4 linked regions of the Anolis sagrei genome follow. The protein of the gene in region 1 interacts with the protein of each later gene in a biochemical or structural test. Links are inferred from orthologs where the notes say so. Each region holds a gene or a part of one and is shown in the gene's direction. Other genes may lie near its edges.

Region 1 (7,753 bases):
CTCAACATTTTTCATCTTAAGACACACCCTCTTTTTCATATTTTGAAGTATAGTGTCCTTTTTATATGTTTGAATAGCAGCTGTATAAAATCTTAGTTAGTGCATTACAAGAAACGGACCTAGAAAAAATACCAGGTCAATAGTGCATCTCATCTTAAAATAAAATTTGATAGAATAATATCTTCTGATTAAAAAAAAAATAAACAGACTATGACACTTTAGATTTTTAGCAGCATATTACTAGTGATGTGGTTGATTACAGCATATTCAGAAAATGATTTATAATAAAAGTGCAATTTCTTATTTTTTTTAATGCAATTACTTTTACATTTGATTTCCAAACGGCTGTTCTAATATAGGTGTCTGCTGTAACAAAATTGAGCAGTAACTTTGTGTTATTGAGATGTATATAAGCTATGTATGTGCAATGGAAAATAAATATTACAAACCTGTTTGTCTAAAAGTTTGTCCATTTTCTTTTCACATTTTCTTTTACATGGCGAATTTCTCTAGGATGCTTAACATAGGACTACTGAATTTTAACCTTAATAATATTTTAGATTAGAATTGAGATTAGATGTTATAAAATATGTCATATGGCTATTAGTTGAAGCAAATAATACAATTTTAAATAAAAAATAAGGTCATGTACCTGTTGGATTCTGTATCTCTTTCACCATCATGACTGAATATTCCCATGATACCACTTCCACTGATACATTTTTAAAAAGTATTTGTAGCAGATTTCAGAATACATTTTGTTTGTATTGGAGAACCTGGGCTCAGGTCCATGGATGAAAAACAGAGCTATTACCTGCTTTGGTGGGATTGTTTGTGTTTCCATCAAAAGGGATATTGACAAGCTAGAAGGTGTTCAGAGGAGGGCGACTGAAAGGATCAAAGGTCTGGAAACCATGAATCCCTATGAGAGTGACTTAAAGAGCCAGGGATGTTTAGCCTGCCGAAGTAAAGGTTGAGAATAGACACAATCTATATAAATAAAAATGTAATGTTCGTTTGTGGGATTAATATAATTGAAAAACCACTGGACGAATTGACATCAAATTTGGACACAATATACCTATCAGGCCAGCGAGTGACCATCACTCATAAAAACACTGTGAAACACAGCGGAAAGGACTAAAAAAGCCAAAAAGATGCTACAGCGCATGCGCAAACCACACACATACATGCAAACACACTTATATACACACAAAGCACATATACAGAAACTGGGCCACAGCAACGTGTGGCAGGGGGCAGTTAGTAGCCATGTATAAAGATGTGAAAGAATGTCATAAGAGGGAGCAGGCTTGTTTTCTGCTGCCCTGGAAACTAGGACTCAATGGAGGAATGGGCTCAAATTGCAGGAAAGGAGATTCCACCTGAACATTAGGAAGAACTTCCTGACTGTAAGAGCTGTTCAGCAGTAGAACTCTCCGCCTCGGAGTCTGGTGGGGGCTCCTTTGGAAGTTTTGTAACAGAAGCTGGATGGCCGTCTGTCGGGGGTGCTTTGAATGCAATTTTCCTGCTTCTTGGCAGAGGGTTGGACTGGATGGCCCATGAGGTCTCTTCCAGCTCTATTATTTACGAGTATGAATCTTGTCTTTTGGAGGCAAGTGTGAATGTTGCAATTGGTCACCTTAATTAGCACCAAATAGCCTTGCAGCTTCATAGCCTGGCTGCTTCCTGCCTGGGGGAATCCTTCTGTGGAGGCCATATTATTATTATTATTATTATTATTATCTTTATTTGTACCCCGCTAGCATCGATGCGGCTTACAAAGGTCAAGGCCTCAAACACAACATAACAATACACAACCTAAAGCAAATTAAAAACAGTTGAAGCAATATTAAACAACAAGCAATAAACAGTGCACCCGGAAACAATAAAACTGGGCCGGGCCAGAGCAATGGGTACATATGTCTGGGCTGATTTGATTGTGCTTTTCCTGCATGGCACAGAGTTTGACTAGATGGCCCATGCAGTCTCTTCCAACTCTATGATACTATAATTCTAAATAGAGGCTGAAAGAAAGCCCATCTGCTGAGACTGCTTTGTGTGTTCCTGCATGGCAGAATGAGGTTGGACGAGATGGCCCTTGCAGTCTCTTCCAACTCTTACGATTCTATGGGTCTAAGATATGATAGAGCTAAACTAATCCGACTACAGAAGCTCAAGGAGATAGCAATGGGATTTCCACCATTCAGATTTATGAATCTACTACTTTTTATGCTTCTTTCATTCCTCCGTGATTGTAATTTCCAAAGTATCTGGCAGGTTTGTTAGATACCAAGATGAGAAAGATATTTCTCTGGATAATAGGGAATGTTCTTCCTTTGGCAGATGGGAGGGGACATCTAAACAGGACAGTACAGGGCTTCTTAAACCTTTTCAACAATGCTTGACATGACCCTAGGTATGTAGGGTATATGAAATAGGTATAAAAATTGAACATGTATTGAGAACTAATCAGGCTCGGCGACGAGTTCAGGATCACTCCCAAGCTGTGAACCTGTGTCTTTAGTGGGATCCCATTTGAGGCCAGGACCCAGTTTAAGAAGCAGTGAGACGGAGTACAGCGGGCCCTCGGTATCCACTGGGATTTGGTTCCAGGACCCCACTGGATAACAAAATCAGGATATACAATGGCAAAATCACACATACAGCCTTTATTGGCATACAACAACAAAATCACAACACAGGCCCATACAACAAAAAGTCACAGATAAAAAGGAAAACATACTTAAACGTTACTAGTCTCAAGAATAAATTTTGCAGCAGTCTGGCATGCATAGTCCTCAGTGGTTGAAAAGAGGTACAAGTGTCTTGAAAGGAGGGAACTCTGAACACGGGCCTTCAATCATGTTCAGAGTTCCCACCTCTTATTACACTTTACAAACAAGTTTACAACTGAAAAACAGGTGGGATGGGAACCACCAAGTTTCCCGTCTTGTTTCGTTGCCCAACTGACAGCAGTCTCATCGAATGCTCTAGTAAAAAGTCAGGTCTTAAGTGTGAGAGTAAAAGGCCCTAAGTCACGCATGGCTCTCATGTAGGGCAACAAGGAATTCCACAAGGCAGGGGCAGAAATAGAAAAAGCCCTGCATCTGATCCTTTCCAAGTGCACTTCTCTAGGACCCAGTATATGGAGTAAGTCACGTTGGGCTGGTTGTTGCGATCTCCGATGATGGGAGGAGAGGCGGTCCCTAAGGTACGATGGACCCTGGCCGTAAAGAATTTTAAAGGTCAGAACTAACATCTTATACAGGCCACGGTACTCAGTTGGAAGCCAATGTAAATGTTGCAGCACTGGTGTTATATGGCATTTCATGGGCGTTCTTGTGAGTAACCTGGCTGCCGCATTCTGAACAATACGAAGCTTTCGGGTCGTAGACATCAGAAGGCCCACATACAGGGCGTTGCAATAGTCCAGCCTAGACGTTACCGTGGCATGGATGACAGTTGCCAGTGCCTCGTCAGATAGGTAGGGTGCCAGTTGCCTCGCTTGTCGTAGATGGAAAAAGGCCTGTTTGCTGGCAGCAGCGACCTGAGCTTCCATTGTCAGCTGTGAATCCAGGATGAGGAAGAACAAGCTGAAGATTAATCCCGACAAGACAGAGGTCCTCCTGGTAGATTGTAAACCAGATTGGGGTATAGGGTGGCAACCTGTGCTGGACGGGGTTACACTCCCCCTGAAGTCACAGGTCCACAGTTTGGGTGTCCTCCTGGACTCATCACTTATGCTTGAAGCTCAGGCGTCGGCGGTGGCCGGGAGGGCCTTTATTTATTATTTATTTATTTAGGTTACTTTTACCCCGCCCTTCTCAACCCCCAAGGAGGGACTCAGGGTTACAAAGAAGGCACAATGTGATGCCTATACAAATTACACATAATATACAAAACCATGGCTAAAACAATTATTGCAGTTAAAAACAATAAAAACAATCAGTACATAACATGTCATATATAAAAACTATAAAAAAAACTATTCTCATGCTCAGCGCTTCGTCTTTCAGAGTTCCATAATTCTATTCCATTAATCATTTCCTAATCATTGTCAAGTCCTTTTATCTGCCCGATTATCCGAATGCCTGGTCCCAAATCCATGTTTTCAGTTTTTTCCTAAAGTAAAGGAGCGGTGTTGCAGATCTAATTTCCCTGGGGAGTGAATTCCAAAGGTGGGGGGCCACCACCGAGAAGGCCCTGCTCCTCGTCCCTGCCAATCTCACTTGTGATAGAGGCGGGGTCGAGAGCAGGGCCTCCCCAGAAGATCTTAGACTCTGGGGTGGGACGTAGAGGGAGATCCGTTCGGATAGATACACTGGGCCTTTGCACAATTAAGACTTGTGCGCCAACTGTGACCGTACCTCGGGAAGGCGGATCTGGCCAGGGTGGTCCATGCCTTAGTCACCTCCAGATTGGACTACTGTAATGCGCTCTACATGGGGCTGCCCTTGAAAACGTAATGGAATTGGACAATACCCTTGCCATTGGGAACACCGTGAGAAAATGGGAGGGCAAAAAACAAAAACAAAACAAGGTTTGCTTATAGTGATAGGATATGCAGCTTGACACTTCTGTCCAGGTGGAAGGGGGAACTATGAAGAGTCCAAACCAAGCCCGCCTTCAGCACCTGCTTCTCTCCTCTCTTGGCCACCAGTGAAGGGAAGCTCCGCGCGCCCTCCAGAGCAGGAAGTGACGTCTGCGGCGGGCGCGAGGCCCTTTCCCGCGGTTCGCGAGGCCTGCTGCCGGTTGGCTGCTGGCTGTCGCGCGCAGGAGAGGGAGGGGGCGCCGCCGCTGAGGGGCTTGGAGGCGCCCAAGATGGCGCCCACGAGGCCCCCGAGGAAGGCGGAGCCGGAGCCCGCGGCCACAGCCAGGTCAGTGCCCTCCGTCCCCCTCTCTTTTGGCCTTTTCCCCCATAGAAGGAGAGCGGCTGCCACCCCACTGGGCTTTTGTTCATCCCAAGGGAAGCCCAAGTAGGAGGGGAAGGGGTCTTCTCCTCAAAGACCTTACAACAGGCATGGGCCAACTCTGGCCCTCCTGGTGTTTTGGACTTCAACTCCCACAATTCCTAACAGCCGCTAGCGGCTGTTAGGAATTGTGGGAGTTGAAGTCCAAAACACCAGGAGGGCCGGAGTTGGACCATGCCTGTGTTACAATGACAGGAAAAGTTTCAAAAGTTGTTGCTCTGCTGCTGCTGTTGTTGGAAAAGATCCAGATCTGAAGTTCCCCTTTTGACAGTCGCTGCCATTGCCATCTTGTCTTAAGAAGTTCCCTTTGTGGCTACTTTCAAATCAACTTTGTCTTCCTTTCCAAATGCCAGCCTCCGTTTATTTACAAACTAGCCGTCCCCTGCCAGGCGTTGCTGTGGCCCAGTCTGGTGATCTGGAAAACAAAGTAATGAGAAAGTGTTGGATTCTAATATATGTAATTTTTATGCTTGTGAGTAAACAGTGTTTCTTTGTCAATGTTGATGTGGAGATTGTCTGGAACGTGCAACATGCAAATTGTCCTTCTTTAGGGGTCCTCTTCAACTCTATGATACTATATGTGTGATACTCTGTGTGAATCATATATATCTATCTATATCTAAGGCTGGATGGCTCTTTGTCATGATTACGTTTGATTACGTTTTCTTGCCCTGGTGAAGGGAGTTGGACTGGATGGCCTTAATAATATGGGGGTTCTGTGTGGGAAGTTTGTCCCAATTCTGTCGTTGGTGCGGTTCTGAATGCTCTGTGATTGTAGGTGAACTATCAATCCCAGCAATTACAACTCCCAAATGTCAAGATTCTATTTTCTCCAAACTCCACCAGTGTTCATATTTGGGCATATTGAGTATTCGTGTAGAGTTTGAACCATATCCATCATTGTTTAAGTCCACAGCAATCTCTGGATGTAGGTGAACTACAACTCCAAAACCAAAGGACACTGCCCACCAAACCCTTCCAGTATTTTCTGTTGGTCATGGGAGAACTGTGTGTCAAGTTTGGTTCAATTCCATTGTTGGTGGGGTTCAGAATGCTCTTTGATTGTAGGTGAACTATAAATTCCAGCAACTACAACTCCCAAATGACAAAATCATTTTTTTCGAGTGAAGGACATACATTGAGTTGTTAGGTGTCTCGTGTCCAAATTTGGTGTCAATTCGTCCAGTGGTTTTTGAGTTCTGTTAATCCCACAAACGAACATTACATTTTTATTTATATAGACTAGCTGTCCCCTGCCACGTGTTGCTGTGGCCCAGTCAGTTGATCTGGAAAATAAAGTAATGAGAAAGTGTTGGATTCTAATATATGTAATTCCTTTATGTTTGTGGGTAAACAGTATTTATTGCAGTTTCTTTGTCAGTGTTGATGTAAAGATTGTCTGGTTTGCTTACTCTGGAACATGCAACATGTCATTTTTTAGGGATCCTTTTCAACTCTATGATACTATATCTCTCTCTGTGTGAATCATATATATCTAGCTATATCTAGGGCTGGATGGCTCTTTGTCAGGAGGGCTTTGATTACGTTTTCTTGCTCTAGTGAAGGGAGTTGGACTGGATGGCTTTAAGTATTTTCTGTTGGTCATGGGAGTTCTGTGTGGGAAGTTTGGCCCAATTCTGTCGTTTGTGTGGTTCAGAATGCTCTGTGATTGTAGGTGAACTATAAATCCCAGTAACTACAACTCCCAAATGTCAAGGTCTGTTTCCCCCAAACTCCATCTGTGTTCATATTTGGGCATATGGAATATTTGTGCCAAGTTTGGTCCAGATCCATCATTGTTTGAGTCCACAGTGCTCTCTGGATGTAGGTGAACTACAACTCCCAAACTCAAGGTCAATGCCCACCAAACTCTTCTAGTGTTTTCTGTTGGTCATGGGAGTTCTGTGTGCCACGTTTGCTTCAATTCCATCGTTGGTGGGGTTCAGAATGCTCTTTGATTGTAGTTGAACTATAAATCTTGGCAACTACAACTCACCAATGGCAAATCATTTTTTTAGTGATGATCACTCCATGGGTTAGTAGGTGTCTTGTGTCCAAATTGGCGGCAATTCGTCCAGTGGTTTTTGAGTTATGTTAATCCCACCAACAAACATTACATTTTTATTTATATAGATTCTTCCTATTTCCTCTCCTTTATTACTACTAGTTCACTTGGCCATTTGGACATACTCTAGTACTTTCTCTCTCCAATCTTTAACAGTGAACTCTTTTTATCCCTTCTAAGATTTTGTTATTGCTAGTCCTGCTGCAACAAAGCTGTATTGCGCTGTCCAGCACTTTCATGCCTGGAATTTCTGTGAGTTTTCCGGGCTGTATGCCCATGTTCCAGAAGCATTCTCTCCTGATGTTTTCCCCACATGTAGGACAGGCATCCTCAGAGGTTGTGAGATCTGTTAGAAACTAGGCAAGTAAGGTTTATATATCTGTGGAATGCCCAGGGTGGGAGAAAGAACCATTGTCTGTTTGAGGCAAGTGTGAATGTTGCAATTGGCCACCTTGATTAGCATTGAATGGCATTGCAGCTTCAAAGCCTGGCTCCTTCCTACCTGGGGGACTCCTTTGTTGGGAGATGCTAGCTGGCCTGGATTGTTTCATGCCTCGAATTCCTGTTTTCTGAGTGTTGCTGAGTGAGGACAGTAAATAAAAATAAAAAGCCAGTTGACACCATTCAACAAAGGATTCCCCCCAGGCAGGAAGCAGCCAGGCTTTGAAGCTGCAAAGCCATTCAGTGCTAATCAAAGTGGCCAATTGCAACATTC
Region 2 (6,855 bases), on another chromosome or scaffold:
AACAGCGCTCCATGCAGTCATGCCAGCCACATGACCTTGGGGGTGTCTACAGACAATGCCAGCTCTTAGGCTTAGAAATGGAGATGAGCACCACACCCCAGTCGGACATGATTGGACTTCATGTCAGGGGAAAACCTTTATCTTACCTTTACACTGCCATACAATCCACTTCAAAGGAGACAGAATCATAGAATCACCTATAATTTTTACTGATTTTATAATATTTAATGGTTTGTTTATATGTACCTTTGGCATTGAATGTAACTGTGTTTTATTTTCTTATAAGCTGTCTTGAGTCCCTTCGGAGAGACAGGGCAGGCTATAAATACATAAATATTATTATTACTACAACAATCTTCTATGGAGCCTGTAAAGTTCTACCCAGGAAGAATGATCTCCCATGGGATGTTCCTTCTTGCTTCCTTCTCACCATTGCTACTTAGTGACCTATGGAGCCCAGGGGATGATGCAGGAGCATCCAGCTGTGTTCTGATAGCTGGACACAACACATAGTGACAAAGAATCTTGAAGAATATCTCAAGAGTCTTCTGGAGGTCCCCGGGCATGACACCATCATCACTGTGCATCTGGGTAGAGGGTATAGACAGGTAATCCTCTGCCATTTATGCTTTTCAACAGTCGCCAATGGCCATGTTAGGAAATGCAAGAGAGAGATGGGTTTTGAGGAGGTTAGGAGGTCATTTGGTCTGTAAGGAGTACATTTTGATCTATAATAACTATAGATGGGAAATTGGATATAGAATGATACTTATAGTGTTGGATATCATCCCCCCCCCCCCCCCCGGGTACCATCCCCACTACATCCTTTTAGACTGCCTTCGAATGATCTTGTGGGTTGAGTTGGGTTATGTGGTTTTTAGCCTAGATTTTAAAATTTGTGGGTTATGTGGTTTTTAGCCTAGATTTTTAAATTTGTTGAAGTTTGAAGCATATAACCCCTTGGGTTTGACGTGGATGTGCGGGACTGGGTCCCCCCGTTATGATCTGGTCACCAACCGTAATAAAGTTTACTTACAGATTACAGAAGAGACATAACACATATACACACATAGATGGACATGCACTTACACATATATGCACATAGTATGTATATAAAAGCACATACAGATACATATCTACACACTAACATATATGCACACAGTATATAAACACACTTATGCCTACATATTACGTATGTATGTATGTATATATATACATACACATATCTACACACTATAAAAACACATAGACATTTGATATATACAGTATATATACATACATACATATACATACACTCTATATATATATATATAGATACAGTCATTACACACACACACATCTCTTCTTAGGCGATCCCTCGTAGTCCGAGGATGATATATAAACATCCCAACCTCAGATATGCAGATGACACCACTCTGATGGCCGAAAGCGAAGAGGAGCTGAGGAACCTTCTAATCAAGGTGAAAGAAGAAAGCGCAAAAGCTGGGTTGCAGCTAAACATCAAAAAAACCAAGATTATGGCAACAAGAATGATTGACAACTGGAAAATAGAGGGAGAAAATGTGGAGGCCGTGACAGACTTTGTATTTCTAGGTGCAAAGATTACTGCAGATGCAGACTGCGGCCAGGAAATCAGAAGACGCTTACTTCTTGGGAGGAGAGCAATGTCCAGTCTTGATAAAATAGTAAAGAGTAGAGACATCACACTGGCAACAAAGATCCGCCTAGTCAAAGCCATGGTATTCCCTGTAGTAACCTACGGATGTGAGAGCTGGACCTTAGGGAAGGCTGAGCAAAGGAAGATAGATGCTTTTGAACTGTGGTGTTGGAGGAAAGTTCTGAGAGTGCCTTGGACTGCGAGAAGATCCAACCAGTCCATCCTCCAGGAAATAAAGCCCGGCTGCTCACTGGAAGGAAGGATACTAGAGACAAAGTTGAAGTACTTTGGCCACATCATGAGGAGACAGCAAAGCCTAGAGAAGACAATTATGCTGGGGAAAGTGGAAGGAAAAAGGAAGAGGGGCCGACCAAGGGCAAGATGGATGGACGGCATCCTTGAAGTGACTGGACTGACCTTGAAGGAGCTGGGGGTGGTGACGGCTGACAGGGAGCTCTGGCGTGGGCTGGTCCATGAGGTCACAAAGAGTCGGAGATGACTGAACGAATGAACAACAATAAATATGTGAGAGGAAGCCACAGGGGGGAGGGAGCAAGCTTGTTTTCTGCTTCCCTGGAGACTAGGACATGAAACAATGGCTTCAAACTACAAGAGAGGAGATTCCATCTGAACATGAGGAAGAACTTCCTGACTGTGAGAGCCGTTCAGCAGTGGAACTCTCTGCCCCAGAGTGTGGTGGAGGCTCCTTCTTTGGAAGCTTTTAAACAAAGGCTGGCCATCTGTCAGGGGTGATTTGAATACAATATTCCTGCTTCTTGGCAGGGGGTTGGACTGGATGGCCCATGAGGTATCTTCCAACTCTTTGATTCTATGATGGTCCTCCAAGTTTGGTGTACTGGTGGTGGGTCCGTAGGTGACTGTGGAACCCTATTCTTGACCTGCATCTTCTCCCCCAGTGAGGGCATCAGTTTCCAGGTGGAAGGCGGTCCCAGTCGGGGTTGGCTTGGCACATCTTCCTCTTGGCACGTTTCTCTCTTTCACCCTCCATTTGTGCCTCTTCAAATTCTGCAGCACTGCTGGTCACAGCTGAGCTCCAAGTGAAGCACTCAAGGTCCAGGGCTTCCCAGTTCTCAGTGTCTATGCCAGAGTTTTTAAGGTTGGCTTTGAGCCCATCTTTAAATCTCTTTTCCTGTCCTCCAACATTCCGTTTTCCGTTCTTGAGTTCGGAGTAGAGCAACTGCTTTGGGAGACGGTGGTCGGGCATCCGGACAACGTGGCTGGTCCAGCGGAGTTGATGGCAGAGGACCATCGCTTCAATGCTGGTGGTCTTTGCTTCTTCCAGCACGCTGACATTTGTCCGCTTGTCTTCCCAAGAGATTTGCAGGATTTTCCGGAGGCAGCGCTGATGGAATCGTTCCAGGAGTTGCATGTGACGTCTGTAGACTGTCCACGTTTCGCAGGCATATAGCAGGGTTGGGAGGACAATAACTTTATAGACAAGCACCTTGGTCTCCCTACGGATGTCCCGGTCCTCAAACACTCTCTGCTTCATTCTGGAAAATGCTGCACTTGCAGAGCTCAGGCGGTGTTGTATTTCGGTGTCGATGTTGACTTTGGTGGAAAGGTGACTGCCAAGGTAGCGGAAATGGTCAACATTTTCTAATGTTACACTATTAAGTTGTATCTCTGGCATTGGAGAGGGGATGGCTGGTGACTGGTCCCCCTCTATATATACAGTCATTACATATATACACACGCGCACTTCTCTCACTGCCATGCACAGAGCTACAGAGTTATGGTCTGCATTTTGTAAATGATCAAAGCGACCTCTGACTTTTCTATAAGGACCTCATCACACTAGAGAATGAATCCACTTTAATCCCGGTTGCTGCCTCCTGCAGAATTCTGGGGTTTGTAGTTTAGGGAGGAGCCTAGAACAGCATCCCTAAACTACAAACCCCAGAATCCTGCAGGAGGCAGAAACCAGATTGAAAGTGGATTCATTCTCTCTAGTGTGTGATGAAGTATGAAAGCCCTAAGAAATGTATGGAGTCACCAAACCTCGATAAAGGCACATCAATACAAACAAGCACCCCCTCCGTTGTCTACTTGGTCTCCCCCACTCCATGCATTGAGAAGGCCCGAAGTAGAGACCTCCTCTTGCCTCCCCCCCCCCGGGCCTAATGCCGGATGGTTCATTCCAGCTCCGGCCCCGCCCCTCCCTCCTCCCCCTCCTCCCCGGTGCGCGCGAAACCGCTCTCGGCCGCCCTCCGGCTCCCTGCCCGCCGCCTTCCTTCCTTCCTTCCTGCCGAGATGCCCGCCCGGGCCGCCCCGCTGACCCCCGAGGAGCTGCGCAGGCGGTGAGTGAGGCCCCTGCTCCCCACGACCCCAATTCAAGCTTTGGGGGGGGGGGGCAAGCACCCTCAGTGAGGGGGAGAGTACTGGTCTTTCGAGCCCCCCCCTCCATTTTGTATATGGTTTCTCCCTCCTCAGCCCCCCCTCCTTTTTAGACATGGTTTCGCCCTTCTTCTTCGTCTCTCTCCTTCAGAGGGAAGTGAAGGGAGAGTGTGAGGAGAAAGAAGGGGGTCTCTTAAAGGGAAAGGTGGCCTTCTGAGGCCTTCCTGGACACCTTCCCCTCATTTAACATAATTACACCATAATTACTCCTCCCCTATCAAATTCTGTGTGTTCTTGAAGGATTGGAAGGCCTGCTTTGCTGATAGGGGAGCATCTGAATAAAATGAGCACCTTCCAGCTGAATCAAATCCCACATTATCACCTTTGAACTGGATTATATGGCAGTGTGGACTCAGATAACCCAGTTCAAAGCAGATATTGTGGGATGGCCAGCCTTGATGTTGTCTCTGTGGAAGGGCCCTCCATTGCTTGGCCAGTCCTGGGCCTGTTAACTGCCTCCACTTTTTTTTTTCAGTATTGGAATGGATGCTCATCAATATGTTGTTGTTATTATTGCTAATTTCTGTTTCTTTCTGCCTCTGCGTTCTTTTCTTTTGGCTGCCCTGCCACGCAGCACAAGTTGGGTGTTTGGCTGTCAATCATCTCCAAAAGCGAGAAAATAACTTAAGGTGTCAAGTTTTGTTCGTCTCAGGTTTCTTCTCTTTAGAATCAAAGAGTTGGAAGAGACCTCATGGGCCATCCAGTCCAACCCCCTGCCAAGAAGCAGGAATATTGCATTCAAATCACCCCTGACAAATGGCCATCCAGCCTCTGTTTAAAAACCTCCAAAGAAGGAGCCTCCACCGTGCTCCAGGGCAGAGAGTTCCACTGCTGAACGGCTCTCACAGTCAGGAAGTTCTTCCTCATGTTCAGATGGAATCTCCTCTCTTGTAGTTTGAAGCCATTCTTCCGCGTCCTAGTCTCCAAGGAAGCAGAAAACAAGCTTGCTTCCTCCTCCCTATGACTTCCTCTCACATATTTATACATGGCTATCATATCTCCTCTCAGCCTTCTCTTCTTCAGGCTAAACATGCCCAGCTCCTTAAGCCGCTCCTCATAGGGCTTGTTCTCCAGACCCATGATCCTTTTAGTCGCCCTCCTCTGGACACATTCCAGCTTGTCAATATCTCTCTTGAATTGTGGTGCCCAGAATTGGACACAATATTCCAGATGTGGTCTAACCAAGGCGGAATAGAGGGGTAGCATTACTTCCCTGGATCTAGACACTATGCTCCTATTGATGCAGGCCAAAATCCCATTTGTCTTTTTTGCCGCCACATCACATTGTTGGCTCATGTTTAACTTGTTGTCCACGAGGACTCCGAGATCTTTTTCACACGTACTGCTCTCGAGCCAGGCATTGTCCCCCATTTTGTATCTTTGCATTTCGTTTTTCCTGTCAAACTAGGCCTCCCCCAACGTTTTTAATAGCAATAGAAGCAGAGAAGCAAGGGGATTCAATAATAATAATAATCTTTAATGTTGTGTCTCTTATTGTCTATATGTTTTTAATTGCTTGTATTGTTGTTATTATTGCTTGTATTGTTGTGTTTGGGCTCGGCCTCATGTAAGCCGCACCGAGTCCCTTGGGGAGATGGTAGCGGGGTACAAATAAAGTATTATTATTATTTATGCCTCCATCTCCCAAATGGGGACTCGGGGCGGCTTACATGATGCCAAGCCCAGCAACACAATGCAATAACTAAAATCAAAACATACACAATAACTTGATAAATTACATAAAACATAAAGATTTCCTACTTTTTGTTGTCTCCAGGAGGCAGGAAGAGGAGGCTAGCTGCTCTTTGTAGTTTACATCCATTCCAGTTTTGTGTTTGGGGACTCTGGGCCCTTCCACACAGCCATATAACCCAGAATATCAAGGCAGAAAAATCCCACAGTATCTGCTTTGAACTGTTATCTGAACCTTCACTGCCTTATATTCCAGTTCAAAGCAGAAAATGTGGGATTTTAGTCAGCTGTGTAGAATAATAATAATAGTAATAATAATAATAATAATAATAATATTTTTGTCGTGTCAGGAGCGACTTAAGAAACTTCAAGTCGCTTCTGGTGTGAGAGAATTGGCCGTCTGCAAGGACGATGCCCAGGGGGCACCCGGATGAATTGATGTTTTAATAATAATAATAATAATAATCTTTATTTAGACCCTGCCACCATCTCCCCAAAGGGGACGCGGGGACCTAAGGCTGTATAAAATCCCACACTATCTGCTTTGAACCGGGTTATATGGCAGGGTGGACTCAGGCCCTTCCATACAGCCATATAACTCAGAATAATAAGGCAGAAAAATCCGACAATATTTGCTTTGAACTGGGTTATCTGAGTCCACACTGCCATATATTCCAGTTCAAAACAGAAAATTTGGGATTTTATTCAGCTATGTGGAATAATAATAATAATAATAATAATAAACCTTTATTTGTACCCCGCTACCATCTCCCGAAGGACTCGGTGCGGCTTACAATAATAATAATAATCTTTATTTATACCCTGCCACCATCTCCCCAAAGGGGACTCAGGGACCTAAGGCTGTATAAAATCCCACACTATCTGCTTTGAGCCGGGTTATATGGCAGTGTGGACTCAGGCCCTTCCATACAGAATAACAAGGCAGAAAAATCCGACAATATCCGCTTTGAACTGGGTTATCTGAGTCCACTCTGCCATATATTCCAGCTCAAAGCAGAAAATGTGGGATTTTATTCAGCTGTGTGGAATTATTATTATTATTATTATTATTATTATTATTATTATTA
Region 3 (7,204 bases), on another chromosome or scaffold:
TGGCTGTGTAATTGTGATGATGATGTATTGTAATATGTTTTAACGTGTAATGATAATGCATTGTGTGGTTTGTATTTTGTATATGAACACATGTTGTGAACCGGATCTGAGTCCCTCCTGGAGGTGAGAAGATCGGTATAGAAAACTTTTAAATAAATAAATTTGCTCTATTTACTGGGTTCTAGGGAAGTGCACTTGGAAAGCAGCAGACACAGGGCCTTTTCTATTTCTGCCCCTGCCTTATGGAATTCCTTGCCTCCCTATTTTAGAGCCATGCGTGATTCAGGGCATTTTATCCTAGCACTTAAGACCTGGCTTTTTAATAGAACATTTGAGCCATGTTAATTTTAGTATTTGTATGTATGTGTTTTATCCTGTATAATTTCTGCAATGTAAATCGCCTGGAGCATCTCGGATGGAGGGCGATTAATAAGTAATTAAAGATGATGGTGATGATTGTACTCAGGTCAAGAGGTTACAGTCGGGATAGCATATGGAGAAACTGGATGATTTCCAGTTGGCAATGTCCTTAGGCAAGGCTGCCTTTTATTACCCTATCTACTTAGAACACATTATTTGTAAAGGAGGCATAAAAACTGGAGAAATTGGCATACTCCTGTCAATTACAATTACCAAGCATCAACAATGGTCTCCCAAGTCATAGTCCAGTGTTCAGACCATTACACCACGGTGCCTCTTTTTTTATCTGGTTTGTTGCACAACCAGTTGGGAGAAACATCGACACAATTCAAGTTAGTTGTTCCTCTCCCCTAGTCATGTTCATTATGACTGTAAATAGCTCTCAAGGAACTTAGGCCCTTTCTACACTGCCATATAATCCAGATTATCAAAGCAGAAAATCCACATTATCTTCTTTGAACTGGATTATATGAGTTTCCATTGCCACTTCAAAACTTATCATCTGGATTTTATATGGCAATGTAGAAGAGGCCTCAGAGGGACAACTTTCAACCCACTTTTCCCTTGCAGTTTTGGGCAGAGAATGCAATCATAGGGTCTGCATGGTTCTCCAGTTTTTCTCCAAATATTTTGGCCGTCAACTCCCATAATCCTTGCTGCTGGGGCTTCCGGGAAATTAAGCCAAAAAGCATCCGGAGGTACAAAGATTGAAAACTATTACTTGAGTCTAGGCAGTTGTTTGCCTAACTGGCTGTGAAGCTAATATACTTATGGCATATTAGTCACTTACGTAATAACAATATACGTAAGAATTGGGCATGTGTAAGAACATGTTATATTGTTTCACCTACCCTGCATTCTTTACTCTGCAAGTTCTCAGGAAGCATTTTAAAGTTTTATGTTTTTGGATTTCTGCTTCTAGTTTACACTATTGTTTATTTTACAGAGCTATTTGCATTTCTTTAGGTAAATTAATTTCCCACAAGACTTTGAAACTAACCATGCCTTTCTGAAAAGGTTGCTAAAGCAAGCATAGTGAATGTGCAGTTCTCTAGACATTGCTGGACTGCAACTCCAATCACAGTCCTTACCATTGGCTATGCTGGCTAGGTTGATGGAATATATAGTCCCACAACATTTGGAGACCACACATTGCTGATCTCAGTTGTCTAACCTATGTCTCTCTGCAGTAACATTTTCTGCAATGAGTCAAAACTACACATTTGTATTTGTATGTCTATCCATTTGTCTACTCTGCCCTCTAATGGGCAACAGTGAGATGAGCTGCCCTAGTGTATCTATATAAATAAAAATGTAATGCTCATTTGTGGGATTAACAGAACTCAAAAACCACTGGGGGAATTGACACCAAATTTGGACACAAGATACCTAACAACCCATTATTCAAAAAAATTGATTTTGTTATTTGGGAGTTGTAGTTGCTGGGATTTATAGTTCACCTACAATCAAAGAGCATTCTGAACTCCACCAATGATGGAATTGGGCCAAGCTTAGCACACAGGGCTCCCATGACCAACAGAAAAACTGGAAGAGTTTGGTGGACATTGACCTTGAGTTTGGGAATTGTAGTTCACCCACATCCCTCCTGACAAAGAGCCATCCAGTCATAAATATAGATAGATAGATAGATAGATAGATAGATAGATACGATTCTCTCTCACACACAGAGATATAGTATCATAGATTTGAAAGACACCCTTAAAGAAGGGCAATGATATGTTGCATATTCCAGAGTAGGCAAACCAGACAGTTTGGTCCAGATCCATCATTGTTTGAGTCCACAGTGCTCTCCGGATGTAGGTGAACTACAACTCCCAAACTCAAGGTCAAACCCTTCCAGTGTTTTCTGTTGGTCATGGAAGTCCTGTATGCCATGTTTGGTTGAATTCCATAATTGGTGGAGTTCAGAATGCTCTTTGATTGTAGGTGAACTATAAATCCCAGAAACTACAACTCCCAAATGTCAAGGTCTATTTTCCCCAAACTCCACCAGTGTTCACATTTGGGCATATTGAGTATTCGTATAGAGTTTGGTCTAGATCCATCATTGTTTGAGTCCACAGTGCTCTCTGGATGTAGGTGAACTACAACTCCAAAATCAAAGAACACTGCCCACCAAATCCTTCCAGTATTTTCTGTTGGTCATGGGAGCCCTGGGTGCTAAGTTTGGCCCAATTCCATCATTAGTGGAGTTCAGAATGCTCTTTGATTGCAGGTGAACTATAAATCCCAGCAACTACACCTCCCAAATGACAAAATCAATTTTTTTGAGTGAAGGACATACATTGGGTTGTTAGGTGTCTTGTGTCCAAATTTGGTGTCAATTCCCCCAGTGGTTTTTGTGTTATGTTATTCCCACAAATGAACATTACACTTTTATTTATATAGACTAGCCATCCCTTGCCACGGGTTGCTGTGGCCCACATGGGGGTTCTGTGTGGGAGGTTTGGCCCAATTCTATTGTTGGTGGGGTTCAGAATGCTCTGTGATTGTAGGTGAATTATAAATTCCAGCAACCACAACTCCCAAATGTCAAGATTCTATTTTCCCCAAACTCCACCAGTGTTCACATTTGGGCATATTGAGTATTCTTGTAGACTTTGGTGCAGATCCATAATTGTTTGAGTCCACAGTGCTCTCTGGATGTGGAAGAACTACAATTCCCAAACTCAAGGTCAATGTCCACCAAACCCTTCCAGTTTTTTCTGTTGGTCATGGAAGTCCTGTATGCCATGTTTGGTTCAATTCCATCATTGGTGGAGTTCAGAATGCTCTTTGATTGTAGGTGAACCAGAAATCCCAGCAATGACAACTCCCAAATGTCAAGGTCTATTTCCCTTAAACTCCATCTGTGTTCATATTTGGGCATATGGAATATTTGTGCCAAGTTTGGTCCAGATCCATCATTGTTTGAGTCCACAGTGCTCTCTGGATGTAGGTGAACTAGCTGGAATGTGTCCAGAGGAGGGCGACTAAAATGATCAAGGGTCTGGAGAACAAGCCCTATGAGGAGCGCCTTAAAGAGCTGGGCATGTTTAGCCTGAAGAAGAGAAGGCTGAGAGGAGATATGATAGCCATGTATAAATATGTGAGAGGAAGCCACAGGGAGGAGAAGGGAGCAAGCTTGTTTTCTGCTTCCTTGGAGACTAGGACGAGGAACAATGTCTTCAAACTAACTACAAGAGAGGAGATTCCATCTGAACATGAGGAAGAACTTCCTGACTGTGAGAGCCGTTCAGCAGTGGAACTCTCTGCACCGGAGTGTGGTGGAGGCTCCTTCTTTGGAAGCTTTTAAACAGAGGCTGGATGGCCATCTGTCAGGGGTGATTTGAATGCAATATTCCTGCTTCTTGGCAGGGGGTTGGACTGGATGGCCCATGAGGTCTCTTCCAACTCTTTGATTCTATGATTCTATGATTTTATAGGGCTATGTGGAAGGACCCAAGAGCTGGGAAGCCTCTCTAAGCAGGAGAGTCTATTTATACCATTGGAAATTATTCCAAAGAAATTTAAGAGGGTTTATGGACACTTATGTATCAACATGGCGTTACGTCATCAATACGTGCCCTGCCTCGCGATTTTTAATTTCTTGTTGCTGTTCCTTTTCTTCTCTGTTTCCTGCGCCCGCCCGCCTGGCCTCGGCTCGAGCCAAGACCGCTCTTCCGCAGCGCTTTGGCGCCGGTGGTTTGCCGCGCGCTGATTGGCCGTTTTGAAAGCGGCGGCCCGTCCTTATTGGCGCGTTGGCGGCGGCTCGGCGCGGTTCATTTGAATCCGCCTCTTGCTCGGCTGCCTGAGGGAGACTTGCAGAGAGAGGAGCGCGGCGTGGGTCTGGAGGGGCAGCGCCCACGGATGAAGCACGGGTAAGGGGCGAGGTGGTGTTGGGGGACCCCCTTTTCGACACTCTCCAGAAAGCCACACTAGTTGGGAATCTCAGCCTCATGGAACACCGTTCAGACTGAGAGAAAGGAGTTGCTAGCATAGTTTTCCATGCATTGCAGCACCCAGAATTCCCCCAGCCATCTACTGCGTCTACACTGTGGAATGAATGCAGTTTGGCTCCACTATAACTGCCATGGAATCCTCAGAGTTGTCGTTTGGGCCCTTTTTGGCCTTGTAAAGACTCCAACTCCCACGATCCCTGGGCAGTTGAAGTGGAGTCCACATTTATTCATTTACTAGCTTGGGGACCCGGCGTTGCCTGGGTTATTAGAGAAAGTGGGTAATGGCGGTTCTGTATGCCAAGTTTGGTCTTTATTGGTCTTTGGATAACGGCTGCATTATTTTCAGGAAGTGAGTGAAGGCACTTAGTCCCATCATCCATGGCCCATCCTCCTCCAAACAGCAGCAGGATATAGAGTGGGTCATGGGGGCTCTGTGTGCCAACTTTGGTCTTGATTGGTCATTAGATGAGTTTTGCAGCAGTCTTGGGGAGTGGAGGTACTTGAAGTCCCATCATCCATTATCTGTCCTCCTCCAAACTGCACCAGGATGTAGAGTGGGTCATTGGAGCTCCATGTGCCAAGTTTAGTCTTGATTAGTCATTGGCGAGGGTCTCAGTGGTCTCAGGAAGTGAGTGAAGTGACTGCAAGTCCCATCATCCATTGTCAAATTCTTCCAAACCGCACCAGGATGTAGAGTGGGTTATGCTGGGTCTCTGTAAATTGTGCTCCTGATCCATCATTGTTGGCAGTTGTAATGGTCTTAGAAAGGGAGTGCAGGTATTGCAAGTCCCATCGTCCATGGTGCATCCTCCTTCAAACTGCACCTGGATGTAGAGTGCGTCATGGAGTCTCAGTGTGCCAATTTTGGTCTTTGTCGGTAATTGGATGGGAGTTGCAGTGGTCTCAGGAATTGAACAAAGGTACTGCAAGTCCCATAATCCATGGTCCATCCCTGGCCAAATCACACCAGATATAGATTTATTTACTGTATTTATATCCCCTCTTTCGAACCCCATAGGGCAGTGTTTCTCAACCTTCCTAATGCCATGACCGCTTAATACAGTTCCTCATGTTGTGGTGACTCCCAACCATAAAATTATTTTTGTTGCTACTTCATAACTGTAATTTTGCTTCTGTTATTAATTGAAGACAATTATGCTGGGGAAAGTGGAAGGTAAAAGGAAGAAGGGCCGACCAAGGGCAAGATGGATGGATGGCATCCTTGAAGTGACTGGACTGACCTTGAAGGAGCTGGGGGTGGTGACGGCCGACAGGGAGCTCTGGCGTGGGCTGGTCCGTGAGGTCACGAAGAGTTGGAGACGACTGAATGAATGAACAACACAACAATTAATTGTAAAGTGAATATCTGATATGCAGGATGTATTTTCACTCACTGGACCAAATTTGGCACAAATATCCAATACGCCCAAATTTGAACACTGGTGGGGCTGGGGGAGGGGTTGTCATTTGGGAGTTGTAGTTGCTGGGATTTATAGTTCACCTACAATCAAAGAGCATTCTGAAGTCCACCAGCAATGGAATTGAACCAAACTTGGCACACAGAACTCCCATGGCCATCAGAAAATCCTGGAAGGATTTGGTGGGCACTGACCTTGAATTTTGGAGTTCTAGTTCACCTACATCTAGAGAGCACTGTGCACTCAGTGATGGATCTGGACCAAACTTGATCTGGATACTCAAGATGCCGAAATGTGAACACTGGTGGAGTTTGGGGGAAACAGACCTTGACATTTGGGAGTTGTAGTTGCTGGGATTTATAGTTCACCTACCATCAAAGAGCATTCTGAACCCCACCAACAATAGAATTGGGCCAAATTGCCCACACAAAACCTCTATGACCAACAGAAATTACTGTTTTCTAATGGTCTTTGGCGACCCATCTGACATCCTCTTGTGTCCCGACCCCCAGGTTGAGAAACGCTGCCATAGGGGGAATCAAGGCGGATTACAAAATACTAATGACAAAAATTCAATGCCAACATACATGTAAAAAGAAAAAAAATCATTTTTTGTTGTGTCAGGAGCGACTTGAGAAACTGCAAGTCGCTTCTGGTGTGAGAGAATTGGCCGTCTGCAAGGACGTTGCCCAGGGGACGCCCGGATAATTTTGATGTTTTTATTATCCTTGTGGGGGGCTTCTCTCATGTCCCCACATGAGGAGCTGTAGCTGATAGAGGGAGCTCATCCGCCTCTCCCTGGATTCGAACCTGCGACCTGTAGGTCTTCAGTCCTGCCGGCACAGGGGTTTAACCCACTGCGCACCAGGGACTCAAAAAAAATCATAGTAACTAAACACTAACATATAGCTATGCATTAAAATCATTAAAACCACAAAATAGAAGGCATAAACAACATTTAAACATTAAGACAAAGCATTAAAAAACATTTTAGTATAAATATTAAAATAACACGATCCAGTTCAGGTTGAGTATTCCTTATCTGAAATGCTTTGGACCAGAAGTGTTGCATATTTTGAATCGTCCTGTATTTTGGAATATTTGCATATATTTAATAAGATATCTTGGTAACGGGATCCAAGTCTAAACAGGAATTCATTATACACATTATACATGTAAGGTCAATTATTACTTTAATAATTTTGTGTATGGTTACACTGAACACTCAGAAAACAAAAGGGTCACTATCTCAGCTGCCCTCATTGGACCCTCCTGGATTCCAAGGTATTTTGGGAAGGATTCATTCCTCAATGTCGATGCTACACAATCCTTTTGCATACTAGTCTTTTTTTTTAAAGAGTCCATGCATTTCCTTTTCCTGTTTGTGAGTTGCATATAACCCAA
Region 4 (7,269 bases), on another chromosome or scaffold:
TAGTCTGTTGGATGCAAGTGTGAATGTTGCTATTGGCCACCTTGGTTAGCACTGAATAGCCTTACACCTTCAAGGCCTGGCTGCTTCCTGCCCGAGGCAATCCTATATATATGTGTGTGTGTGTGGAATGTTGTCAAAGGTGGGAGAAAGAGAGAACTCTATAATCTGTTGGAGGCAAGTGTGAATGTTGCTACTGGCCACCTTGATTAACATTGAGTAGCCTTGCAGCCTCAAGGTCTGGCTGCTTCCTGTCCAGGGGAATCCTATATATATATATATATATATATATATATATATATATATATATCTATATATCTGTGGAATGTTGTCAAGGATGGGAGAAAGAGAGAACTCTATAATCTGTTGGAGCCAAGTGTGAATGTTGCTATTGGCTAGCTTGATTAGCATTGAGTAGCCTTGCACCTTCAAAGCCTGGCTGCTTCCTTCCTGGGGGAATCCTTTGTTGTGGGGTGTGAGCTGGCCTTGATGTAGGATTTAGCCAGGCATGGGCCAACTTAGGACCTCCTTCCAAGTGTTAGGAAGGTAGGAATTGGAGTCCACAACACCTGGAGAGAGGGAGGGCCCAAGTTGTCCCATGCATAGGGGCGTGGCCTAGCTGTGCAGTGGGCGTGGCCTAGCTCCAAGCCCCGCCCCCGACTGACCTGTTGAGGAACTCCAGTGCTGCAAAAGGTGAAGCTTTGGAAGGGATGGTGGCCACGAAGTAGAGCCCCCCATGACGCACATGCGCGAAGTGGAGCCCCGGGGGATGCGCCTCCTGCAGGAGAAAGGGAGGGTGTGACGTCAGAGGGTGAGTGACGTCCGGTGCTTCCCCCTTGGCCTTGACCCCCTTCTCACCATGAAGACCGGGGCCTGGTCAGGAGGCAGCGCCGTCACCTTCCGGAAGAAGTCCTCCACGAGGCCGGGGTGGCCCTCCCCACGGACTGTGCGCAGAGGGTCAAGGAGGGCAACGGGACCAGGGCCCTCCCCCACTGTCCCTCCCCTTCAGAAGAAGACGTACAAGCCACTCTAAACACCTTCGCAGAAGCATACGAGAAGCTCGCCCTCTCACTGAACATTGAGAAAACCAAGGTGCTTTTCCAGCAGGCACCAGCCAATCCCTCTCCAATGCCAGTGATACAGCTTAATGGTGTAACATTAGGAAATGTGGACCATTTCCGCTCCCTTGGCAGCCACCTCTCCACCAAAGTCAACATCGACGCCAAAATACAACACCGCCTGAGCTCTGCAAGTGCAGCATTTTCCCGAATGAAGCAGAGAGTGTTTGAGGACCGGGACATCCATAGGGAGACCAAGGGGCTTGCCTATAAAGCTACTGTCCTCCCAACCCTGCTCTATGCCTGCGAAATGTGGACTGTCTACAGATGTCAACATTGAGACTGAAATGCAACACCGTCTGAGCTTTGCAAGTGCAGCATTTTCCCGAATGAAGCAGAGAGTGTTTGAGGACCGGGACATCCGTAGGGATACCAAGGTGCTTGTTTATAAAGCTATTGTCCTTCCAATCCTGCTCTATGCCTGCGAAATGTGGACTGTCTACAGATGTCAACATTGAGACTGAAATGCAACACCGTCTGAGCTTTGCAAGTGCAGCATTTTCCCGAATGAAGCAGAGAGTGTTTGAGGACCGGGACATCCGTAGGGATACCAAGGTGCTTGTCTGTAAAGCCATTGTCCTCCCAACCCTGCTATACGCCTGCGAAATGTGGACTGTCTACAGATGTCAACATTGAGACTGAAATGCAACACCGTCTGAGCTTTGCAAGTGCAGCATTTTCCCAAATGAAGCAGAGAGTGTTTGAGAACTGGGACATCCGTAGGGAGACCAAGGGGCTTGTCTATAAAGCTACTGTCCTCCCAACCCTGCTCTATGCCTGCGAGACGTGGACTGTCTACAGATGTCAACATTGAGACTGAAATGCAACACCGTCTGAACTTTGCAAGTGCAGCATTTTTCCGAATGAAGCAGAGAGTGTTCGAGGACCGGGACATCCGTAGGGATACCAAGGTGCTTGTCTATAAAGCTATTCCCCTCCCAACCCTGCTCTATGCCTGCGAAACGTGGACTGTCTACAGACGTCACATGCAACTCCTGGAACGATTCAATCAGCGCTGCCTCCGGAAAATCCTGCAAATCTCTTGGGAAGACAAGCGGACAAACGTCAGCGTGCTGGAAGAAGCAAAGACCACCAGCATTGAAGTGATGCTTCTCCGCCACCAACTCCGCTGGACTGGCCACATTGCCCGGATGCCCGACCACCGTCTCCCAAAGCAGTTGCTCTACTCTGAACTCAAGAATGGAAAACGGAATGCTGGTGGACAGGAAAAGAGATTTAAAGATGGGCTTAAAGCCAACCTTAAAAACTCTGGCATGGACACTGAGAACTGGGAAGCCCTGGCCCTTGAGCGCTCCAGCTGGAGGTCAGCTGTGACCAGCAGTGCTGCAGAATTTGAGGAGACACGAGTGGAGGGTGAAAGAGAGAAACGTGCCAGGAGGAAGGCGCGTCAAGCCAACCCCGACCGGGACCGCCTTCCACCTGGAAACTGATGCCTTCACTGTGGGAGAAGATGTGGGTCAAGAAGAGGGCTCCACAGCCACCTACAAACCCACAAAAATAGTCATCAAGGAAGACCATCTTACTCGTCCAACGAGGGATCGCCTAAGTAAGTAAGTAAGTAAGTCTCTCCCCTTCTGCCCTTCAGGAAGGATACAGTCCTTGTAGAGGAGCCGGTCCCCTTGCGAGGAGAGCACGAACACCTCCGAGATCATCCTCGGCCCTCCAGGAAACACTCTGCACACGCCCCGGAGCACTCTCTTTAGCCTTACTTCCTGGAAGAAGCAAAATACTAGGGAGGGGGCGTGGCCTGTGGGAGGTCACGCCCCTCCCGCCTGGGATTGGCTCACAGGCGCTGCGTCACCTAGAGGCGTGGCCTGCACAAGGAAGAGTCTCCACCCTTCAGTGATAAAGGGAGAAGGGATTGGTTGAGGAATGTAGCGTCACGTAGAGGCGTGGCCTACACAAGGAAGAGTTTCCGCCCTTCTCTGCAAAGACGAGCAGGGATTGGTTGCGAGGTGTCGCGTCACGTAAAGGCGTGGCCTACACAAGGAAGAGTTTCCGCCCTTCTCTGCAAATGTGACCGGTGATTGGTTGCGAGGTGTCGCGTCACGTAGAGGCGTGGTTTGTATAACGGCAAGTCCCCGCCCCCGCCTGCAAAGGCGAGCGGTGATTGGTTGCGAGGTGCTGCGTCACGTAGAGGCGTGGTTTGTATAACGGCAAGTCCCCGCCCCCGCCTGCAAAGGCGAGCGGTGATTGGTTGCGTGGTGCTGCGTCACGTAGAGGCGTGGCCTACACAAGGAAGAGTTTTCTCCCTTCGCTGCAAAGACGAGCGGTGATTGGTTGCGAGGTGCTGCGTCACGTAGAGGCGTGGCCTACACAAGGAAGAGTTTCCGCCCTTCTCTGCAAATGTGAGCGGTGATTGGTTGCAAGGTGTTGCGTCACGTAGAGGCGTGGTTTGTATAACAGCAAGTCCCCGCCCCTGCCTGCAAAGGCGAGCAGGGATTGGCTGTGGCGTGCTGCGTCACTTAAAGGCGTGGCCTAGAGAATGAAGAGTCCCTGCCCTTCTCTACAAACGCGAGCAAGGATTGGCTGCGGAGTTGTGCGTCACTTGAAGGCGTGGCCTAGAGAACGACGAGTCCCCGCCCTTCTCTTCAAACGCGAGCAGGGATTGGCTGCGGGGCGTAAAGGCGTGGCCTGCATAAAGAAATTTCCCCGCCCTTCCCTTCAAAGACGAACTGGGATTGGTTGAGGGTTTTACGTCACGGAGAGGCGTGGCCTGCATACGGATAAGTCTCCGCCTCTCTTTGCATAGCCGAGCAGGGATTGGCTGCGGGGCGTTGCTTCACGTAGAGGCGTGGCCTGTATAAGAGCAAGTCTCCGCCTCTTTCTGCATAGCCAAGCAAGGATTGGCTGCGGGGCGTTGCTTCACATAGAGGCGTGGCCTATTGAATCGAGTCCCCGCCCTCTACTTCCAAAGCCGAGCAGGGATTGGTTCCGAGGTGTTGCGTCACGTATGTGGGAGCTGTGGAAGAGTCTCCTCCCTTTCGCGCAATCCCGAGCAGGGATTGGCTGTGGGATGGAACCGCGCGGACCAATCGGATTATGTCAATCTTGACTAGCGCGGGAAAAAGCCAGAGCGAGATGGAGGCGTGGCTAACAAGGAAGGAGGGCGGGGATTGACAGAAAGGAGGGCGGGGATTGGCTGAGTCGTGTGGAGCCGGCCAATCGGAGCAGCGCCGCCTTTTCCCGCGCGCGGGAAAAAGCAGTCAGAAGAAGAGAAGGCAGGATGGCGTCGGGAAAAGGCGAGAAGCTGGGCCTACGCGGGGACTACGACGCCGAGATGGGTGAGGGCAGCGAGGAAGCGGCGGGGAGGAGATGGAAAGGCCTCTCTCTCCCTTTGCCTGACGCTTCTTTTCCTGTTTTCCTATCAGACAAGGCGGCGTCCTTCCTGGAGGGATTCTTCTCCAGCTCTTCCTCTTCTCTCCCTTCGGACCAGGCCGGGAAACACTTCCCCTACCGGGAGCAGCTGGTGAGTCCGTGCCCGAGGCGGCGGGGAGAGTTCCCCGGAGGCTCCCACCCCTTGCTAACCTTCTCCCTTCCTGGGCAGACCCTTCTGGCGCACCGCGAGGCTTCCACGCTGCGGGTGGACCTGGACGACGTGGCCGAGGAGGACCCGGCCTTGGCGGAGGCCGCCTGCGAGAACGCCCCCCGCTACCAGCGCCTCTTCGCCGACGCCGCCGCCCGGCTCCTGCCCGCCTACAAGCAGAGAGAGGTCAGCACTCCTTACAACCAAGGGGGTGCTGGGAAATGTAGTCTTTTTGCCATTCTCTCCTAGGCCGGGAATAGACCCCCAAAAAACCAAAAACCGGCCTGGAACTACATTTCCCAGAATTCTTAGGGGGGGAGGACACTAAAGTTCTCCCTTGTCTCCTGTGCTATGCTGATAATATAATATGACATTCTGTATTATAATACAGGGTTAGTCAAAATGAATAGGCCAATAAGCCATTCAATTGAATGGCTTATTGGCCTATGCAGTTTGACTAACCCTGTATAATATATTGTATATAAATATATGATATTCTAATATATGTTGTGTGTATATATATATATATATATATATATATATATATATATAATATGATATTCTGATATATTATATATTGTATATACGTGTGGTATTTAGAAATATATATTATATGAACATATAATGTGATATCTGCAGGGTTAGTCAAAATGAATAGGCCAATAAGAGAATTAATTGTACCCGAATTGGCCTATTCATTTTGACTAACCCTGTATATTGCATAGATACGTAATATGGTATTCTGTAATATATATTATTGCATATGCATATATGATATTCTGAAATATAATATAATATTTTGCATACACATAATATGATATTCTGTAATATATTGCATATACATATAACGTGATATTCTGAAATATAATTTTTCCATTGACACAATATGATATTCTATAATATATTGCATAGATATGTAGTATGGCATTATAATAATATATTGCATAGACACATAATGGGATATTCTGTAATATAATAATTGCAAAGACACATAATATGATATTCACTAATATAATATTTTGCATCGAAACATAATATGATATTCTGTAATATAATATATTTTGCATAGACACATAATATGATACTCTATAATTTAATATATTGTCTATACATATAATATGATATTCCAGCAGAGAGAGGTCAGGATGCACAGCGGGGAGGATGCCGGGAAATGTAGTCCTTTGCCATTCCCTCTTAGGCCGGGAATAGCAAAATAAAAAACGCAGCCTGGAACTACATTTCCCAGAATTCTGATGGAGGAGGATGCCAGAGATAGGAAAATATAGAAGGCTAATAATATTGTGTTTCCGCTCTGCCTAGATTGTGCACAAGGATGCGCTGGACGTCTACCTGGAGCACCGGCTGCTGCTGGAAGGGCGCCGAGGAGGAGGCGGGGAAAGGGGGGCTGCGCAGTCCCGCCCCCCACAGAACAACTTCCCCGCAGAGCTCATGCGCAGATTGTGAGTCCCGCCCACAAAAGGGGAGGGGTCAGGGGGGAAGGGGTGGGGAAGCCATAAACAATATAAAACTATAAGAACAGACAACAAATAGTCAGCCATCACCAATTTAAATCATTATCCAGGGGCACTTGATCAGTTCTAAATAAGTCAACACGTCAGTAAGTCAGCCTATTCTCCAAAGGCCTGATCCCATAGCCAGGATTTTACTTGTTTCCGGAAGGTCAAGAGGGATTCAGCAGATCTAATTTCACTCGGGAGGGAGTTCCACAGACGGGGGGCCACCACAGAGAAGGCCCTGTCATTTGTCCCCGCCAGACGCGATTGCGACAATGAGGGGACAATGAGCAGGGTCTCCTCAGATAATCTTAGGGCCCTAGATATACATATTTATGTATACGTTTTTGTGCATTGGCATATCTTTGTCCCTAACAGTTCAAAAACTAGGTATATCAGTTTTAACAGCTGCAAAACATAATTGTCTTGCATGAATGCCATTTCCCAAAAGATTATGATTTCTAACAAGGTCGTGCCTTTGCAAAGATCATAACTTCTCCAAAACCTCCAACTCCAGCCTCCCCGTTTTGCCCCTCTCACGCTCCTCCTGTGCCCCCAACAGCGAGCTCTATTTCAAGGCTCCTTCCGGGATGAAGCCCCGAGTGATCCGTGAGGTGAAGGCCGACTGCATCGGGAAGCTGGTGACCGTCCGGGGCATCGTGACCCGCGCCTCAGAGGTCAAGCCCCGGATGGTGGTGGCCACCTACTCCTGCGACCGCTGCGGGGCGGAGACCTACCAGCCGGTGAGTTTTGGGCAGCCTGGCAAAAGGGGATTGAGGGCAGGGAGTGACTCAGCTGGAACCACAGAGTGCCTCCGATGAGGATGATGTGACTCAGGTTCACAGCCTGGTTCAAAATGTCCCTGTTATAGACAGTGAAGAAGTGCACTTTCCCACAGCAAGGCATGAGAGTGCTGATACTGAAAATAGCCAGGTGCAGATTGACTCAGAGAAGGAGGACAGTTCTCAGTCTGATAATGAGCAAGCAGGGAAACAGGCGGACACTAACGAACAGACTGACCTTGATGAAATGGGAACCTTAGATCGGGTTGACTGTTTGGAATTCAGAGTTCGAAGGAGTGTGAGAATAGCTA

What was found.
Region 2: the proteins of RB1 (region 1) and DNMT1 form a complex in vitro, tested with the Homo sapiens proteins (2 studies listed by BioGRID). The link is inferred for Anolis sagrei from reciprocal best matches to the Homo sapiens genes RB1 and DNMT1.
Region 3: of the proteins of RB1 (region 1) and CDK1, one has a biochemical effect on the other in vitro, tested with the Homo sapiens proteins (8 studies listed by BioGRID). The link is inferred for Anolis sagrei from reciprocal best matches to the Homo sapiens genes RB1 and CDK1.
Region 4: the proteins of RB1 (region 1) and MCM7 form a complex in vitro, tested with the Homo sapiens proteins (2 studies listed by BioGRID). The link is inferred for Anolis sagrei from reciprocal best matches to the Homo sapiens genes RB1 and MCM7.

The regions. Positions count from the first base shown.
Region 1 is NC_090021.1:150,193,409-150,201,161, forward strand, and holds the start of RB1 (retinoblastoma-associated protein), read left to right. Parts: upstream 1-4,738; 5' UTR 4,739-4,824; coding exon 4,825-4,880; intron 4,881-7,753. UniProt on the Homo sapiens protein: Tumor suppressor that is a key regulator of the G1/S transition of the cell cycle. The hypophosphorylated form binds transcription regulators of the E2F family, preventing transcription of E2F-responsive genes.
Region 2 is NC_090022.1:172,053,358-172,060,212, forward strand, and holds the start of DNMT1 (DNA (cytosine-5)-methyltransferase 1), read left to right. Parts: upstream 1-3,840; 5' UTR 3,841-3,931; coding exon 3,932-3,978; intron 3,979-6,855. UniProt on the Homo sapiens protein: Methylates CpG residues. Preferentially methylates hemimethylated DNA. Associates with DNA replication sites in S phase maintaining the methylation pattern in the newly synthesized strand, that is essential for epigenetic inheritance.
Region 3 is NC_090023.1:165,444,677-165,451,880, forward strand, and holds the start of CDK1 (cyclin-dependent kinase 1), read left to right. Parts: upstream 1-4,185; 5' UTR 4,186-4,301; intron 4,302-7,204. UniProt on the Homo sapiens protein: Plays a key role in the control of the eukaryotic cell cycle by modulating the centrosome cycle as well as mitotic onset; promotes G2-M transition via association with multiple interphase cyclins.
Region 4 is NC_090024.1:246,955,091-246,962,359, reverse strand, and holds the start of MCM7 (DNA replication licensing factor MCM7), read left to right. Parts: upstream 1-4,263; 5' UTR 4,264-4,362; coding exon 4,363-4,420; intron 4,421-4,507; coding exon 4,508-4,605; intron 4,606-4,683; coding exon 4,684-4,848; intron 4,849-5,982; coding exon 5,983-6,122; intron 6,123-6,738; coding exon 6,739-6,919; intron 6,920-7,269. Other genes in the region: AP4M1 (AP-4 complex subunit mu-1), read right to left, coding at 663-775, 856-941, 2,731-2,788. UniProt on the Homo sapiens protein: Acts as a component of the MCM2-7 complex (MCM complex) which is the replicative helicase essential for 'once per cell cycle' DNA replication initiation and elongation in eukaryotic cells.